Oryza sativa Japonica Group: one gene and its partners. The main gene of each other region encodes a partner of the protein of the gene in region 2 in a complex. Links are inferred from orthologs where the notes say so. Each region holds a gene or a part of one and is shown on either strand. Other genes may lie near its edges.

What was found. The genes of interacting proteins can lie anywhere in the genome.
Region 1: cleavage and polyadenylation specificity factor subunit 2 (region 2) and cleavage and polyadenylation specificity factor subunit 3-II share a complex: the UniProt entries of both Arabidopsis thaliana proteins name them as parts of the CPSF complex. The link is inferred for Oryza sativa Japonica Group from reciprocal best matches to the Arabidopsis thaliana genes CPSF100 and CPSF73-II.
Region 3: cleavage and polyadenylation specificity factor subunit 2 (region 2) and cleavage and polyadenylation specificity factor subunit 3-I share a complex: the UniProt entries of both Arabidopsis thaliana proteins name them as parts of the CPSF complex. The link is inferred for Oryza sativa Japonica Group from reciprocal best matches to the Arabidopsis thaliana genes CPSF100 and CPSF73-I.

What each region holds. Positions count from the first base shown.
Region 1 is NC_089043.1:18,258,607-18,264,656, forward strand, and holds the start of cleavage and polyadenylation specificity factor subunit 3-II, read left to right. Parts: upstream 1-2,173; 5' UTR 2,174-2,303; coding exon 2,304-2,328; intron 2,329-2,410; coding exon 2,411-2,597; intron 2,598-2,701; coding exon 2,702-2,774; intron 2,775-3,210; coding exon 3,211-3,328; intron 3,329-3,445; coding exon 3,446-3,519; intron 3,520-3,640; coding exon 3,641-3,777; intron 3,778-4,308; coding exon 4,309-4,372; intron 4,373-4,739; coding exon 4,740-4,805; intron 4,806-5,107; coding exon 5,108-5,177; intron 5,178-5,252; coding exon 5,253-5,357; intron 5,358-5,886; coding exon 5,887-6,028; intron 6,029-6,050. Other genes in the region: uncharacterized protein, read right to left, coding at 13-462. UniProt on the Arabidopsis thaliana protein: Component of the cleavage and polyadenylation specificity factor (CPSF) complex that play a key role in pre-mRNA 3'-end formation, recognizing the AAUAAA signal sequence and interacting with poly(A) polymerase and other factors to bring about cleavage and poly(A) addition.
Region 2 is NC_089043.1:27,168,586-27,174,485, forward strand, and holds the start of cleavage and polyadenylation specificity factor subunit 2, read right to left. Parts: upstream 4,138-5,900; 5' UTR 4,063-4,137; coding exon 3,914-4,062; intron 2,949-3,913; coding exon 2,780-2,948; intron 2,697-2,779; coding exon 2,600-2,696; intron 2,531-2,599; coding exon 2,404-2,530; intron 2,323-2,403; coding exon 2,207-2,322; intron 1,828-2,206; coding exon 1,733-1,827; intron 1,649-1,732; coding exon 1,497-1,648; intron 1,130-1,496; coding exon 1,072-1,129; intron 1,010-1,071; coding exon 902-1,009; intron 530-901; coding exon 277-529; intron 185-276; coding exon 3-184; intron 1-2. Other genes in the region: uncharacterized LOC9271620, read left to right, coding at 4,487-4,568, 5,262-5,374, 5,491-5,571. UniProt on the Arabidopsis thaliana protein: CPSF plays a key role in pre-mRNA 3'-end formation, recognizing the AAUAAA signal sequence and interacting with poly(A)polymerase and other factors to bring about cleavage and poly(A) addition. Required for antisense-RNA-mediated gene silencing.
Region 3 is NC_089037.1:36,886,594-36,892,744, reverse strand, and holds cleavage and polyadenylation specificity factor subunit 3-I, read left to right. Parts: upstream 1-2,274; 5' UTR 2,275-2,288; coding exon 2,289-2,459; intron 2,460-2,578; coding exon 2,579-2,676; intron 2,677-2,781; coding exon 2,782-2,827; intron 2,828-2,929; coding exon 2,930-3,079; intron 3,080-3,358; coding exon 3,359-4,996; 3' UTR 4,997-5,260; downstream 5,261-6,151. Other genes in the region: non-specific phospholipase C4, read right to left, coding at 5,569-6,151. UniProt on the Arabidopsis thaliana protein: Component of the cleavage and polyadenylation specificity factor (CPSF) complex that play a key role in pre-mRNA 3'-end formation, recognizing the AAUAAA signal sequence and interacting with poly(A) polymerase and other factors to bring about cleavage and poly(A) addition.

The sequences.
Region 1 (6,050 bases), about 8.9 Mb from region 2:
CCACCGGAGCAGCTAGGTCTTACTCGGCGGCGGCGGCGGCGGCGCCTTGGGCTTGGAGAAGTCGGAGATGTCGCTCCTGGAGAACCACTTCTCCCAGTTCCTCCCGTCGGCGTGCCTGTACTCGACGTGCGCCAGGGTGCCCGGGTCGACGCAGGCGGCGGTGACGGCGACGCCGTCGGGGTTGGACCGCGGGGTGTAGAAGGAGGTGATGCCGCAGACCCTGCAGAACGTGTGCTTCGCCGTGTGGGTGCCGAAGGTGTAGGTGGTGAGGGACTCGCCGGCGCCGGCGGCGAGGGTGAACTTGGAGGCCGGGACGACGAAGTGGGCGTTCCCGCGCATGGCGCAGTCGGAGCAGTTGCAGATCCACACCACCACGCTCGCCGGCGCCTCCGCCCGCCACCGCACCCGCCCGCAGTGGCAGCCGCCGCTGTGCACCACGTCCGCCGCCGCCGCCGCGCTCATCGTCGCCGTCGTCGCCTCGTGGAAAGAGGAAAAGAAAAAAGGGAAAATTCGGAGAAGAAAGAAGCGGGTGGGATTTTCTCGATGAACAACTGGTCCACGTGGGCGCGTTGACTAGAGTGAGACCAAGGCAAGCAGTGGCTGGGCTTTTTTGTGGGCCAAGATTGATATGGGCTTAATATATGGACTCGAGTTGACTGGCCCATGGGCTCACACTGATATGGGCTTACTGAGCACTGGGCCTACGGCCCACAAAAGCCCATGAGGCAGCCCAACCAGCTCGCGACCTCGTCGGCGGCGGAGAGAGCAAGCGGCCTTCGTGCGGGTGGCGGTGGCGGCGGCGCGGCGAGGAAGGCGGCGGAGAGGCAACTGAGGCGTGGTTGAGGGATTCTGGCGTGGAGCAGCGCCGGGGGAGAGGGTAGAAGCGGCGGCGGCGCCATGGACATCGAGTGCCTTGTGCTAGGTACCCTTCGTCGTCCTCCACTCCTCTCTCTCCCTCTCCGCTTCTCGCACGGATTTGATTGATTGATGGGAATGATGCGTGGATTGATGGCGATGGCGATGGCGCAGGGGCGGGGTAGGAGGTAGGGAAGAGCTGTGTGGTGGTCACCTTCGGCGGTGAGAAGCGCGTCATGTTCGACTGCGGCATGCACATGGGCCACCACGACAACCGCCGCTACCCGGACTTCGACCGCAGTGGCACCCGCCGCTGTGCACCACGTCCTCCGCCGCCGCGCTCATCGTCGCCGTCGTCGCCTCGTGGAAAGAGCAAAAAAAAATTGGGAAAATTCGGAGGAGGAAGAAGAGGGTGGGATTTTCTCGATGAACAATTGGTCCACGTGGGCGAGTTGACTAGGCTCCATTCGTTTCCACTTAAAAAAAGTGGATTAAGTTTTGGATATTCGTGGCACGCTTTTTAAACCGTTAAACGATGTGTTTTGTGCAAGAATTTTCTATATGAAAGTTGTTCTAAAATATCAGATTAATCCATTTTTCAAGTTTGCAATAATTAAAACTCAATTAATCTTACGTTATTATCATCTCGTTTTACGTGAAACACTTAATTTTCACATTCATCTTTATATTCATCATTGAATCCCCTGAAGATAAAAATGAATATTAAGTTTTTTTTTATGTAAAATGATGTGGTATTAACGTATATTCGATTGAGCTTTAATTATTACAAATTTGAAAAATAAATTAATATGATATTTTAGAGCAACTTTTATATATAAAGTTTTTTCGCACGAAACGAGCCGTTTATCAGTTTGAAAGCGTGCCACGAAAATCTTAGGGCCTGTTCACTTTATGCCAAAAAAAACCTTACTAAATTTTAGTAATACCAAAATTTTGGCAACAACTTGCTAAAATTTTAGTAGGATTTCTTATATAATTACTAAAATTTGACAACAAACTAAATGTAGCCACTTTTTTAGTAACTTTACTAAAATTTGGTAAGGTTAAAAATGGCTTCAAAGTGAACATGCCGTTAATCTTCATCCAACTCTTGTCGGAGAAAAGAACGGGACTAGAGTGAGACCAAAGTAAGCAGCGGCTGGGCTTTTTGGTGGGCCAAGATTGATATGGGCTTAATATGCAGATAAAGCGTTTGACTGGGCTCTGACAAGCAGGGCCCATGGGCTCACACTGATATGGGCTTACTGAGAACTGGGCCGAGGCCCACAAAAGCCCAACTCTTCTAGCCGGCAAGCCCAACCAGCCGCACGCCCTCCTCGGCGGCGCGGCGAGGAAGGCGGCGGAGAGGCAACGGAGGCGTGGTTGAGGGATTCCGGCGTGGAGCGGCGCCGGGAGAGGGGAGAAGCGGCGGCGGCGGCGGCGGCGGCATGGCCATCGAGTGCCTCGTGCTAGGTACCCTTCGTCCTCCTCGAGTTCCTCTTCTCGCACGGGTTGATTGATGGGAACCACGCGTGGATTGATGGCGATGGCGCAGGGGCGGGGCAGGAGGTGGGGAAGAGCTGCGTGGTGGTCACCTTCGGCGGCGGGAAGCGCGTCATGTTCGACTGCGGCATGCACATGGGCCACCGCGACAGCCGCCGCTACCCGGACTTCGACCGCCTCCTCGCCGACGGCGCCGCCGACTACACCGCCGCCATCTCCTGCGTCGTCATCACCCACTTGTGCGTCTGCCAAAAATCGAATTGAATTGAATCGAATTTGATCTGTAGCAGCATATCCAGTTTGCTTGCACGGTTAATAGCTTTGTGAAGTTTGTGCGTTGCAGCCATTTGGATCATATCGGAGCACTGCCGTACTTCACCGAGGTCTGCGGTTACCACGGTCCAGTTTACATGACGGTGAGTTGTAACCACTAACCAGTTCATGTTTATTTGTTCAGTATTATGATTGCGCAGCTTTGGTGTATCCGTTCCAGGTAGAATGGGGTTTCATTAAAAAAAAAGGGGCTATAGTGAGGTTGAATTTCAAATTAACTTGTCATAGGTTGGATTTTTATTCATCTTAGCTATCAAATACTAATATCCATTGAGCTTGTGAGTTGTGGCTGTCACTGCAGTACTTAATAGTGGTCATGGTCCTGCGTAAATATGTTTGATGGTCTAGGGGTTCAGTGAACTTGTTGATCTTATTGAGATGATCTTGTCAAAGTATATAATACGCAAAAGGAGATGTGCTGTGAACTGATATTGTCCATCGGTAGCATGTGAAAGCTTGATTTCTCTTGCTGAGTGATTGATCTTCATCTCATAACTTAAATCGTTGTACCTCAAGCAGTACCCGACAAAGGCTTTAGCTCCATTGATGCTGGAAGACTATCGGAAAGTAATGGTAGATCATAGAGGAGAGGAAGAGCAATATAGCTATGAAGACATCCTACGCTGTATGAGGAAAGGTAAATGTTCTGTGTTCACTTTTCACATATCTTTTACTAGTCTACTTAGATATTGTGCTGGCACACAGGTATGCATGTACGATAGTTCTCATTTGGTTATTTCATTGGACATTTCAGTTATACCATTGGACCTGAAGCAGACCATTCAAGTAGATAAGGACCTTTCGATCCGTGCCTATTATGCTGGACATGTATGTGCTGTATACTTTTCTGTCCCATATTAACTGCAGTGTTATTTTTTAAATTCTTGGAAAATTAATATTAATGTTGTTCTGTACTTTCTTAATTAGTCATCATTCTTCCACATGCAAGGTTCTAGGGGCTGCAATGATATATGCAAAAGTTGGAGATGCTGCTATTGTGTACACTGGAGATTACAATATGACACCAGATAGGCACCTTGGAGCAGCGCAAATTGATCGTCTGAAGTTAGATCTGTTGATAACAGAGTATGCTACAAATTCAAATTATAGTTATGCTCTTGTGCATCATGTTTTCCTTTTGAAATGTTGACCCAGTGATGTAGTTGTAGACTTGTAGTGAATCATTGCCACTCAGGATTAGGTTCTTTGGTATGTTTTAGCAGTAATTTTGCTGTCTTGTTTCTTATAGCTCTTTTATCTTTTGTGTGCGCTTGCGCGCGTGCTTGTGTGTCCATTAACTATCTTTATGATATCAGGTTTTCCACACAGCTACGTACCAGTAAACCAGTATCCGGTTTCTGTTGTTAACCTCTGCTTTGACCTGTATGTAGTTGGAAATCTCCTTTGTAGTTAATGATTAGGTAGGTGTATTTTGCTAAATTTTTCTTGTGATGTTTCGTTTTAATATAATCCATATTTGGTTTTTATGGAATTATGGTCTACCTTGTTCTGTACTGTTGTCTTAATGTTTTACCAATACGGAATTTGAGGTGCAGTTCTTTGGTGTATCTGTTTTATGTTCAATGTGTAAGTATTAAACTGAAGTTTTATCTGCAGATCAACATATGCTAAAACTGTGCGTGACTCGAAGCATGCCCGAGAGAGGGAGTTCTTAAAAGCAGTATGAAACCTGAACCTTCACACTACCAATTTTATTGGGGCTTTTTTTATTTGGTTTCTTTTGTAACACTTATGCAATCCCCTTGGTGATGCAAGATATGTGTTACATTTATCGATGCTGATGGTTGGGCTTGTAGCATTGTGCAAACTTAAGTAGTTTTGTACATTTCTATGGCATGAATACCTCCAGGGAGTTCATGCTCACAAAATACTAAGTACAACTTGTTATTAGCCAAGAGTTTATCCCTTTTTCAAGTTCTGATACTTGAATCATGTTGATTGTGTTGACACATTGAATCTTTATAATCTTTACTTGCAAATTTCTACTTAGTAAATTCATCACTTTAATGAGAGCGTATTTTATCTAGGTCCATAAGTGTGTTTCTGGAGGTGGTAAAGTTCTAATTCCAGCATTTGCTCTTGGAAGAGCACAGGTACTCACCACTCCTCTCTTAATTATATGTGATGATGCATTTAATTTAATGGTTAAGAGTAGGATCCTTTTGGAAAAATGTCCTTTGGAGTATGCTGTTTGAAACTTCCATAATCAGAAGTGATACACTGCTGTAATGTGGAAAACAAATTAAGATTGCCTTGAAACTCCGAAAGGGGCAAAATATAGATGTAGCTATGAACAGAGTGGCATTTTATTGAACGCAATCTCCATAGTGATATTTTATCAAAGCCTACTTTGTGGAGTGGCATATTACCAATTTTCTCCTCTAATGTGTGTCAGGAGCTATGCATACTACTGGATGACTATTGGGAAAGGATGAACCTGAAGATTCCTATTTATTTCTCAGCTGGTATGTGTCTTTGTCCAACTTTAACTTGCTTTCATGTATTTGTCCACTTTATTTATTGTTGTATTTGTTTGATAGGTTTAACCATTCAAGCCAACATGTACTACAAAATGCTTATTGGATGGACTAGCCAAAAGATCAAGAACAGCTACACAGTTCATAACCCATTTGACTTCAAGCATGGTATGTCCTTGAATAAACATTTCATTTGAATCATATGTCGAATTTCGTAGAGTGTATCTGTTTAGGGAAAACTTATAAACCTGCAGTATGTTTTCCTTTTATTTGTATATAAGAAACTATGTGGCATGCATTCATGATGCACCTTCTTTAATGAGTGTTGATAATACTGATATTGAAGATATATGCCATTGGCTCCTACATTGTACTCCCTCCGTCCCAGAATATAAGAAGTTTTAAAGTTGGACATGGTTATTAAAAAAGTAGGTAAAAGTGAATGGTAGAGGGTTGTGATTGGATGAGTAGTAGAGGTAGGTGGGAAATGTGAATGGTGGAGGGTTGTGATTGGTTGGGAAGAGATTGTTGATGGAGAAGTTGTTATATTTTGGGACAAATCCTGATGGCTAAAAATTGTTATATTTTGGGACGGAGGGAGTATCTCTTAAATTAGAGTTCTAATGCACATCATTTATGTTTCTGACTTTCTGTTATGTACAGACAGTACTGAATATTTTTTTTCCTCACGTTGCAGTTTGCCACTTTGAGCGTTCTTTCATTAACAATCCTGGTCCATGTGTGCTTTTTGCAACACCTGGTATGATTAGTGGTGGATTTTCCCTTGAAGTGTTTAAGAAATGGGCTCCATCAGAAAAAAATCTGGTTACACTTCCTGGGTATTCCTCTTAACTCTTGTAA
Region 2 (5,900 bases):
ACGGGCATCAAAGTATTATCCATTTCTTCTTGCTTCATCAGATAGTCTTCAGGGTTGATAACCTCACCGAAGTCATCCCATTCAGAAGTATTTTCAAAGAAAGGAAACATTGGAGCAACACTTGATGATGGAGGGACAAATCCATCAATGAGAATATCCACATTCCCGCCAAACTTTGAACCAGCTGATGGAACCACAGAGCCAAGAAGGGTTGTTAACCACATATAATATATTGCATCAGATCGTAAAGGTCTTACAAACGCAGCCTAGCTATACCGTTGGATGGTTTGCGAGATGTGCTGGCATCAATAACCATGGGATCAGAAGCCTTTGCGTTTGATCCAAGAGACGCCTTCTTTTCCTCCTCTTTGTTTAGACTGGCCTTTAGCGCTTCCTCCTTTTTTATCCGTTCTTGTTCTTCTTCGTAAGCTTTCAGCTCATCACCAACTAAAGGAATTCGCTTGCTCATAGTGACCTTTACAGCTTTTGGAGGTGGATCTACTTGGAGCATGCGAGCTAGTGTCCCAAACTGGAATGGGATACTTTGTAATTAGATAGCTGTAGAACATAGATATATGATGCTAGAATTCTTTTGCTGAGTGAGAACAACACAAATGTTTGATCAGTTTTTGCAAATACAGAAATCTATGGAACATGAAGGCAGAGAGGATATGGTTAACGTGACGTAAGTTTGGATTCATCATCAAGATTCATGTTGTTTACACAAATTTTAAAAGTTTCATGTAGGTTGTAGCAATCAATTTGCTAAGGCCCCTTCAAGGTGTTGGACTACTTGTCACTTACAGGTTTGAAGCTATAATGGTTTGTATGTAGCTAGTTATTGAATGTATGTGCTGAGAAAGAAATAAACCATCCAGATATATTGAGTACATGGATTTACCTGTCCCTTCTCAGTAAAAAGTACTAGATTCTTTGCTTCATTTGCCATATCAACAAATATGTCATGAGAAAAGCCAACCTCCAAGCTTGCCATGGATGCTAGAACCACCTGCTAAATGTTTGTTAAATTCACGTTTCCGACAGTATGGAGGAAATAAATGTTACTCTAACCTTTGGTGCATCTCCCAGCTTTTCAAGCTCATCTTTGTTTATTATCTGTGTAACACATCTGCAACACAGAAAAAACAAAAGTTGTAGAAACTAAACAAAACAATCATACAAATATCGTTCTTAAGAAAGTTATATATGAAGTTTATAAACAAATAATAGTATAGCGCTGATTCAGGAAAAGAGGCAGTTGAATTGGCTCTGATAATACAGTATTGTAATAACAGGACAGCCCAATGAGATAAAATATAAATATGACTCCATAAGGAGAAAGTAATAGAGGAAACATGTCTATTGGGCTGTTGAAATGTAAAATAATAAGCTCATCATGAATCTTCAGGCTTGCAATGCATAGCAATTGTCAATATGCACAGAATAAAACAAAACGATGAACTGAAAAAAAGGAAAGTAACAAGAATCATTCGTACTTTAATAGGAAGGCATTGTCTCTAGTGTGTTCAAAAGACTTTGAGATTGAATCATTCATCCATTCAAGAAAACTCTTGACATAATCAACAGTACTCGTAGAAACATTTGTCAGAAAGTAGATAGGGTAGATCAAATGCCGTTGAGCCCAGTACTGCAATAAATCAAGACAAAAGGTGAACATATTATTGACATAACAAAATAAAACAGTACGAGAACAAGACCTTCAAGATTTCACCTGCTCCAATATCAAAAGAATTTCAAGAACTCTACCAGCTGTATCAATCGGCAGTAACACACTACCACCACCAGTTAGAACTTTCACTAATGCATCTGCATGAAACAGGATGTCAATTAGACATCACAAGAGGATTCCCATACAGTAACTAAAACAAACCATATACACGATAACATATATTTGGAGTCTAAAATATTAATAGTTTATTATTGAACTCAACAATGTGTAGCACTAAAAAATAATTGAGAAATAAAAAAAGTTGTGTCCAAGTTGCAAATTTGGAAAATAGAAGATATATTCATCAGTGCTACTTTGATGGAGAAAACATAAGTAAAAAACAGCTTCCAACAAAATTATCATGAGCTGTTACCTGCAACCATGGCTGTGTGGGTATAGTAGTAATGCTAGAGCTGAAAGCATTTGAAAAAGAGATAGAGATAGAGAGCTATGATAATAACATGTCCAGTGTTGTACCAATGAAATCTTGATCCTGCTGCCTTTTGTAGACATGGTTGTTCAAGGCATTGTATGCATCAGTTATCAGAACAGCTGGCCGTACAAATGATCCAAGAGCAGTACCATTCAAATGCCTGGAAAAGCACATTGCTGTTATTATTTGCTAATAAAGAGAAAACTAAAATGACAAGTAAATGACAAAGGAAGGATTTAACCTCTCTTTACGATGGTTGAAGTCAACAGCATAAACAACATCCTCCCCATCTTTTGTTATCTTCCATACCGTGCCACCCAAATCATGCCCAGCAACATGTGGAGCAATAACTATTCCTTCACCTTTATCTGCCAATCAATAGTATGTAAGGGGATGTAATTTAGCAAAGGATATACATCAACAGCATGCTTACTGACCATTCAAAAGGTGGTTCTGTGAGTACTTCAATCTAACAACATTTTGGAATGCAGCATCAATATCGTCCAAAGTAAACAAGTCAAAATCTGAAACTTGCTGCAAAGGAAAATAAAGAATGGTTAGATCCACTATATGCAATGAAACAAACAAGAGGTTAAAATGGACACTAGAAAGCTTACCCGTCGTGATATAAAGTAATCATACAAGGTTAAAATGCCAAGTCTAAATACAGGTTCTGTGGCATATACTGGTGCAGATAGTCCGAGATGTTTCATAGCATATGGCAAAGCTCCTAGATGCATGGTATCGGCATGAGACAAAAGAACTGCATCTATTGTTGGTGCAACCCTGAAAAAAAAATACTGATCAAATTCATAATCCATAAAAATACTGAAACATGTTCAAGTGTTCCCTTCAATCTTTACAGATGTGTAATTTGAATAATTGAACAACAAAGATCATGGGAGCTTAAAATGGAACTTTTGCATGATTTTGAGGCTACTAGTACCAAGCTGGTGAGATAATTGCTACTAAATCTATGCCATGATTACTCAACAATCAAGGAAGACGAACAAGAATAAGTTTATTCAGCATAGAAAAATAAATATAAATATGAGTCAGAGTTCAACCTGAAAGCAGGCTATCTATTACAGGGAGGCAAAAAATTGCCTTGATCATGCCACTCTATAATTGCCTTAAGATAGATATTCACCATTTAAGCAAATGAAAGCAATTACTGAAGGTTCCATGTAAAAACCACATGAAATGTTGAGGGGCAACGCCCAGTAAGACAAGCTTGAGAAGCAATATTAAGCACGGTTTAGAAACTCGAGCTACATCTTTGGCACATACTAATTAACAATTAAGGTCATACATAAACAACACATCAGTAAGTAGTCCATATGGTATGTATGCAGGATCATGGGCACAATGTAGAAGTGCATATGCGTTCGTGCACACGGACCCACCAACACAAGTGCATAACATGCACCAAGCCTGACTATGCACAAGCACACCCGAACACCTGTCGGACTCAGCAATTCAGTTGAGGCAAATCAATCTCCTAAACCGACGATCTCATTCGTTACATAGCAACACAGATAACCCTAAGATGACAAAATCACAGCAGAGCCGGAGAACCCTTCACTGTCTCCAAGTGTAGGCAATTGAACGAGCAGGTGGCGCGCATGGCAACCCCATCCCCATCCCATCCGAACTCATCGCAGCATGCGGCAAAGGAGAAAGACTAGCACCAAAGCAGCTGACCCCGACTAGCCAAGAGGAGAGTTAGGGCGAAAATGGTGGAAGCGTACTTGGCGAGGGGTTGGAGGTGGGAGGGGTCGCAGAGGTCGGTCCAGCCGCAGTCGAGGAGGAAGCGGAAGCCATCGACGGCGAGCAGGTAGCAGAGGGGTCCCTCACCGTACGCGCCACTCAACGGAGTCACCTGCACCGACGTCCCCATCCGATCGATCCCCTTCGCCGGCGGCGGCGGCGGCGGCGGCGGCGAGCAAGAAGTGGAATGAGAGAGAAAGAGTCCAAGTGTAGTAGTTGGGCCGCTCGAGAGGCTTATGCAGAAAAACTGTACATGGGCCGGGCTGAGGCCCATATACTTCCTCTTTTGTGTTGGTTTCCTTCACTTTCCTACTCGAGGCCGACGGAGCGTTGCGTCCGCCGCCGCCATTGTCACTCTCGTCTCCATCTGCGTCTCCGTCTTCGTCTCCGGCCAGCGAGCCCCTTTTCGCCGGCGACCTAGAAGCGAGAAATCCCAACAAATACACATCCAGAGAACCGGCTCGGCTCTGTCGCCTTCCCCTTTCCTGGGTGTTGGCTTGTTTGGTTGGATCTAAGCAAAGGCCTAACCGCGGCGATCTTCCGCCTCCCATCCCATGGACGGCGCGAGCGGCAGCGGGGAGCCGACGGCCAACGGGGAGAAGAAGCCCGACGAGCAACACTTCGATCCCAGCCGAAGTAAGGGTCTCTCTCTTTCTCACGCACCTTTAATTTTTGTTACCTTTTGTGTTCGTGCTCTAGATTTGGTTACTCCTATTCGGTACTAGAGTATAACAAATCACGACTCATACTGATTTGCTTTAGAGGGTTCAGGTTTTGTAAACTAGTATTGCTAACTAACAATTCGCCACGAATCAAATTGGAAATCTCACAGTCACACGAAATAAACATCTGCTGCACAACTAGGAATGCACAAAGATCCTATCAAATGCCATGGCCATGGCCTCAATTTTCGTAGCCCTTGGTCCATAATTCAGTTCACTTATAAAGCTTTCTGAGAGATGTGCATAGGATGGTAATTCTTGAACCAACATCTCAGTTTATTCGGGATGGAGTAAGTCTAGTATGTTGCAAAAAATTTGACTCTATATAAATGATTGGAGCAGGTATCCTATCCTACCAGATACTGAATAGAAGTACAATTGTTATGCATGTACTAGCTACCTTGCTAGTATATTGTCATGAGTGAGTTATGAAATGTCAAAGCTTTATCTCTCCATGATTTTCACATGGTACACTGGCCTCATTATAGTATTAGAGATATATTGAGTTCTGTTGATGCATTGCTTGCAAAATCTAAAAAACATTTTTCATTTGTAAAATAGTTGCCAGCATTCTTGTGCTTGTATATAATGCCATGGTGTTTTGAAGTGATAGGAATAATCAAAAGGAAGGCCTTGATTAAAGAACTGGCTGCTGCTTACCATGCTGAGTGTGTGGCATGCTGTAAAGAGCTTTTGCAGCTCCAGAAAAAGTGGGAGGAGGTCTGTATCTGTCCTTCTCCAAAATGGCAGATAATCCCGTGATTTACATTCCTCGCATTATTTTCAAACGGAACATATGTAACACGAATCCTGCTCTTCCTTGGTCGGTTGTGCAGGAGCAGTATGTTGAATTTAAGATGTCTGATGAAGCGCCAAGGACGTTGACAGTGAAGTCTTCCAAGCGCAGGAAAAGGTAGCTTTAGAAGGCATGAATTTGACAGGAGCTTTAGATGTTGGAAGTTAACAGAAAGAAGCCCTGTGTAGTTTGAGATTTTTTTTGGTAGATAATCAGCTTATTCTGGACTCTCAATTGTTTTTGGAGTGTGTGTGAAAAACATTGTAGCTAGCTGCTTGCTGGAGGTATCAACTTGGCCGCTATAAATTGGGCATCTATCCTCCTTACGTGCTTGTGGAGCACATTATTTCTATTCGAACCGGATTGTTCCATAAATCCATTGGAAGTTTCAAATTGGCTCTCTGTTCATAGGATCTTATCCATCATCCATACATAACGAATTGGTATGGT
Region 3 (6,151 bases), on a different chromosome or scaffold from region 2:
AGATCACAGTTTAGTGAGAACCACGATGTGAACAGGGCAACCAACAAAGGCACGTGACTACATAGGAACATTATATTAGTGTCGACGTTTGATGTCGCGATTCCGGTATTTGCATAGTATGGGGATCGTTGGTACTAGGATATACGCGAGATTTAGGTAAAAGAGACGGAGGCAAGGATTTGTATATATGTCCGGGCCCCTGAATTGTCAGGTAATAACCCTACTCATGTTGGCCGAAGCCGGTCGTTGCTCTTATTTACCATAGTCACACCAGTACAATATTTGGGGTAGCCTATCTAACTGTTGTCAATATGGTGGTCTAAAGTTCTGACTCGTAGTCGACAACAGGGTAGCCTTCCTCATCGAATCCGCATCCGGTGAGATCAAAGACAGCGCTATGTCTCTCCTAACAGCATCTGTAGACACCATAGGGGACTAGCCATGCTTATCTCTTAAGTCGATATCCAGCGTCTTGTCTTGGCGTATGTTGGCTTGTATGTTGATCTTATGTCTTGATCTATTGTTCCGTGTCCCCTCTCCTCTTAGGGGGCCTTGTATTTATACCCATAAGTGTCCCCTTGTCCAAGTAGAACTAGGAAAACCAATATGGATACTCCGAGTAGTCATTGCCATTTTCATGTAGAACTCTATTCATCCTTCCTTATACGGAACTCCTCCTATATCCGAAGGTTGTTTCCGTATAAGACATGGTATATGGTGGGTCCTGTCGAGATTAAGTCAACTACTATTAGGTATGTGGTATCCATAACCCTGACAATTAGCATTTTTGTGCATTGGTTTAATCGGTTTGAAGGAAACAAAATGGATTCCCAAAAATAATTTCTACAGTTCCCATTCGGTTTGTATAAATAAGTTATAGGAAAACCAAACGAATTTTTTCTTTTCCTTTAAGTTGTAGAGAAAAAACATAGGAAGACTTCCGTTCACTCAAATCTTTTGAAAAAATTCATATGAATTGATACGTGCATTTATTTTTTTTTCACTTTCCTATTTCTATGGATTAAAATTCCTCAAACTGAATAAACTAGCCCTCGAATCTAACGGGTTGTTTGGATCAGGGACTAAAATTTTAGTCCCTATCACATCGGATATTTAGACACTCATTAGAAGTATTAAATGTAAATTAATGACAAAACTCATACCATACCTGGACTAATTCGCGAGATAAATCTATTGAGCCTAATTAATCCATGATTAGTCTATGTGATGCTACGGTAAACATGTGGTAATTATGGATTAATTAGGCTTAAAAATTTATCTCGCGAATTAGCTCTCATTTATACAATTAGTTTTATTATTAGTCTAAGTTTAATACTTCTTATTAGTGTCAAAAACATCCGATGTGATAGAGACTAAAATTTTAGCCCTTGGATCCAAACACCACCTAAGACACCTATAGATCAATGCAAGGACGGTTGCGTACGTCAAGCCTGCACGACTCAACTTCTTCTCCCCATTAGTCTAGCTCGATGGGCTAGCTCCATGCCTGCTATCGAATTTCTCTGGGTCTATTTGGTAGAGCTCCAACTCCTAAATTTAGCTCCAGACGTTAGGTCTAGAATTTAGTTGTGGAGCAGTCTAAACCCAGCTCTACATCTCTAGTTCATTTTGTGAGAGTTCCCCATCCAACTCTGATCCATTTAAGTTGGAACTGAAATTGTTAGGCTAGGCTCTAGCTCTAGAAGACGTGAAGCTGGAGCTGAGTTGTGCTAAAGTTATGCTCCAGCTCCATGATATCTCAACCAATATAATTCGTTTCCTTCAACTCCAATATGGGATATCTTGATCCCTCAACTATTAAAACCGATGCAATTTGACTCCCTCAGCAGTTTTGGAGGACGGTTTCACGGACGTGAGTGTTGACATGGAGTTTAGATGGCATTAGAATTAAAAAAAAATATGTGTGTGAGCCCCATTCGTCATTCACACAATAAAAAATATGAGGCCCCCGTGCCATCTCCCCTCTATCCTTCTTGCTCTTCCCTCTTTCTCCCTTCTCTCTCTATGTTTCTCTTCCTCTCCACTTCGGTGCAGGATCTGGAGCAGTGTTGGCGGCGAAGGGCCGAGGGCTAGAAATCCCGGTAATTGCGGTTCAAGATACAAATTAGATTGGTTAAGGGAGCTAAAGTGAACTTACTGTCCAGCTCCAGGGCTGCTTGGACTGCAAGCCCTTCCGGGCCCAACTTAATTCAGCCTGCTTCGAGTCCGCCGTGTCCAAAGCCCTAAAAGGTCTTTCCTTCTCCGCTCGTCAGCAAGTGAAGGGGAAAATGGCGTCGTCCGTCGCCGCCGCCGCCGCACCGACCGCCGGGGGGCCGCCGGGGAAGCGGCAGGCCTCCGGCGGGCGGGAGGGAGACCAGCTCATCATCACTCCGCTGGGCGCCGGCAACGAGGTCGGCCGCTCCTGCGTCTACATGTCATTCAAGGGCCGCACCGTCCTCGTGAGCATCCAATCCCCCCACTCTTTCCCTCCAAACCCTAGCTTCCACTGCTTTCTTTTTTATGATAATTTCTGCTTTTGTTTGTCATGTGGTGTGGTGTGGTTTGGATTCTTGGATAGTTCGATTGCGGCATCCACCCGGCTTACTCCGGCATGGCGGCGCTCCCCTACTTCGATGAGATCGATCCCTCCACCATTGATGTCCTCCTAATCACCCAGTACTTATTCCCCCCACTCTCTTTTCACCCTTTTTCTTTTATTTTCTTTGCCCCTTCTGTCAAATCTGTGCGTCTCTTGCTTAACTTCGCCCTTAAAATTTGCAGCTTTCACTTGGACCATGCTGCCTCTCTTCCCTACTTCTTGGAGAAGGTAATGTTCCACCATCTTCCGTTTTTTTGCTTCGACAGTAAGTGCTCAGCTATTGCCCTGATACCATTCAGCATCCTCAAGTTGCTCTGGTTTTATTTGCAGACGACATTCAAGGGGCGCGTGTTCATGACCCATGCCACAAAGGCCATCTACAGGCTGCTCCTTTCCGATTATGTCAAAGTCAGCAAAGTTTCTGTGGAGGATATGCTGTTTGACGAGCAAGACATTCTTCGTTCCATGGATAAAATTGAGGTATTTTATCTCCCTGAATGGATTTAAATTGCCTATATAGCAGTACAGCACTTTGTCGACCCCTTTCAAATGCATATGTTAGAACAAATTTGAATGGACAGAAATCCTCTAGATGGTTGATAATCAACTGAGAAACCTGTAACATCTGATTGTTGCTTTGTAAACATTGACCATTTCCTTCCATATAGCATATTGTTGATTCTTCTTGTGATGATCGAAAGCTTGTATGTATTTCATGGAGTGAATGAATACTTTTGTTAACATAAAAATGCCTTGCAGGTCATAGACTTCCACCAGACATTGGAAGTTAATGGCATACGCTTCTGGTGCTATACTGCTGGCCATGTACTTGGCGCTGCAATGTTCATGGTGGACATTGCTGGGGTTCGCGTTCTTTACACTGGTGACTACTCCCGTGAGGAAGATCGCCACCTGAAAGCTGCTGAACTTCCCCAGTTCTCCCCTGATATTTGCATTATCGAGTCAACTTATGGCGTGCAGCAGCACCAACCCCGCCATGTACGAGAGAAGCGCTTCACTGATGTAATACACACGACCGTCTCGCAGGGTGGTCGCGTTCTTATCCCAGCCTTTGCTCTTGGAAGAGCTCAAGAGCTGCTACTTATCCTGGATGAGTATTGGGCCAACCACCCAGAGCTCCATAAGATTCCAATCTATTATGCCTCCCCTCTTGCCAAGAAATGCATGGCTGTCTACCAGACATACATCAACTCCATGAATGAAAGGATTAGGAACCAGTTTGCACAATCTAATCCCTTCCATTTCAAGCATATTGAGTCTTTGAATAGCATAGATAACTTTCATGATGTGGGTCCATCAGTGGTTATGGCAAGCCCAGGTGGTCTCCAGAGTGGCCTCTCCAGGCAGCTCTTTGACAAATGGTGCACAGATAAGAAGAATTCATGTGTTATTCCAGGTTATGTTGTGGAAGGCACCCTTGCAAAGACCATTATTAACGAGCCAAGAGAAGTGACACTGGCGAATGGGCTCACTGCTCCTCTTCATATGCAGGTCCACTATATTTCCTTTTCTGCTCATGCTGATTTCCCTCAGACAAGCACCTTCTTGGATGAGCTCCAGCCACCCAACATTGTTCTTGTACACGGGGAAGCAAATGAGATGTCAAGACTTAAGCAGAAGCTTATTTCTCAGTTTGATGGGACAAATATAAAAGTTGTTAACCCCAAGAATTGCCAATCAGTGGAGATGTATTTCAGTTCTGAGAAAATGGCCAAGACAATTGGCAGGTTGGCTGAAAAGGTACCGGAAGCTGGAGAATCAGTTAATGGCTTGCTTGTAAAGAAGGGATTCACATATCAAATTATGGCTCCTGAGGATCTCCGTGTGTACACGCAGCTATCTACAGCTAACATTACCCAAAGGATTGCCGTCCCATATTCTGGTTCTTTTGAAGTCATAAAGTACAGACTGAAGCAAATATATGAGAGCGTGGAGTCATCAACAGAGGAGTCTGATGTTCCAACATTGATTGTGCATGAGAGAGTGACCATTCGCCTGGAATCAGAAAGCTATGTTACATTGCAGTGGTCGTCTGATCCTATCAGTGATATGGTGTCTGATTCTGTGGTCGCCATGGTCTTGAACATAGGCCGTGAAGGTCCCAAAGTTGTCCCAGTTGAAGAAGCAGTGAAGACACAGGAAGAGACGGAAAGGGTGGCCCAGAAGGTAGTTTATGCTCTTATGGTGTCACTTTTTGGTGATGTCAAAGTTGCAGAGGAAGGGAAACTTGTTATATCTGTGGATGGACAAGTAGCACACTTGGATGGGAGGAGTGGTGGTGTTGAATGTGAAAATGCTACACTGAGAGAAAGGATCAAGACTGCATTCCGTCGTATACAGGGTGCTGTGAGACCAATCCCGCTTATATCTTCTTGAGCTGAAGGCGTTAAAGTTACGCTTAAACGTGTCCAATGTTTCCTAGATGAACTTAGTAGCATTACCTGTCTGCACATGATGAGCAGGCATTTTCATCCTGCTTCAAATGCCTGTCTAATACAGCATGATGTGTTGTAGATCACTGCTCTGGGCCATCTTAGTGCCGTTGAAATAAACTCCAGCTGTAACATTTTGATTTTGTAGCCATTTCTAACTGTTACTCATTTCCTGTGAAATTGTTCTTAGCTTCTCTGTTCTTTTCCAGATATTCTGTTTGCCTGCTATTCATTTGTCCAGTTGGTGATGTACTATGCAATCTTAATGGAAACTTTTGGGTCTCAATGACGAATCTGATTGAGCTGAACTTCCAGAGTTCTTTTCTGGTCAGATCAGCAGGATCAGTAAACCAACATTCGTAATACAATCATCACATCAATAATCTACACACCACCCATAATCACTCTGTAAAATCCGGCCTTAGTACTGTACTCCTCCCTGCACAACCAAATTAATAATCTATACAGTAATCAACAAGCGAAATGAATAAGCAATTAATCAGCCATCTTCACTGACTAATTCTTGTTAGGACGACCACACGCAAAGCAAGACAGCAACTTGGAAGCAAAGGAGCTAGAGCCTGAGGACGACGTCGACGGCGGCGGCGGCGGCTTCACCACCGTGGGGATGTGGGACCCGTCCTCGCCGCACTTCCTGCAGCGGTCGCACTCGTCCATCCATGCCTTGAAGGCGGCGTTGCAGTAGCTGGCCGCCTCCGCCACCGTCATCCCCTCCACCAGCTTGCGCGGGTACACGTCCTCGTCGGCGTGGTCGCCGTTGAGCACCGCCCCCAGCTGCACCAGCTCCTCCTGGAACTCCGTCAGCGCCGCCTGCTCCGCCGCCTCCGTCGCCGGCCTCATCTTCACCGGCTCCGGCAGGGTGGCGGGGCAGTCGGTGCGCGGCGCGTCGCGCGTGAGGACGACGTCGAAGGTGCCCGCCCAGGCGTCGCGGTTGGTCAGGAAGCTCTTGAGGTTGAAGAGCTTCTTCACGGTGGCCGGGATGGAGGAGTGCTCGAACTCCGACGTCGGGTACGGCCCCGACGGCCGGTGCACCACCGTGCCCGGCTCGATCCACGGCGAGATGAAGAGCGCCGGGACG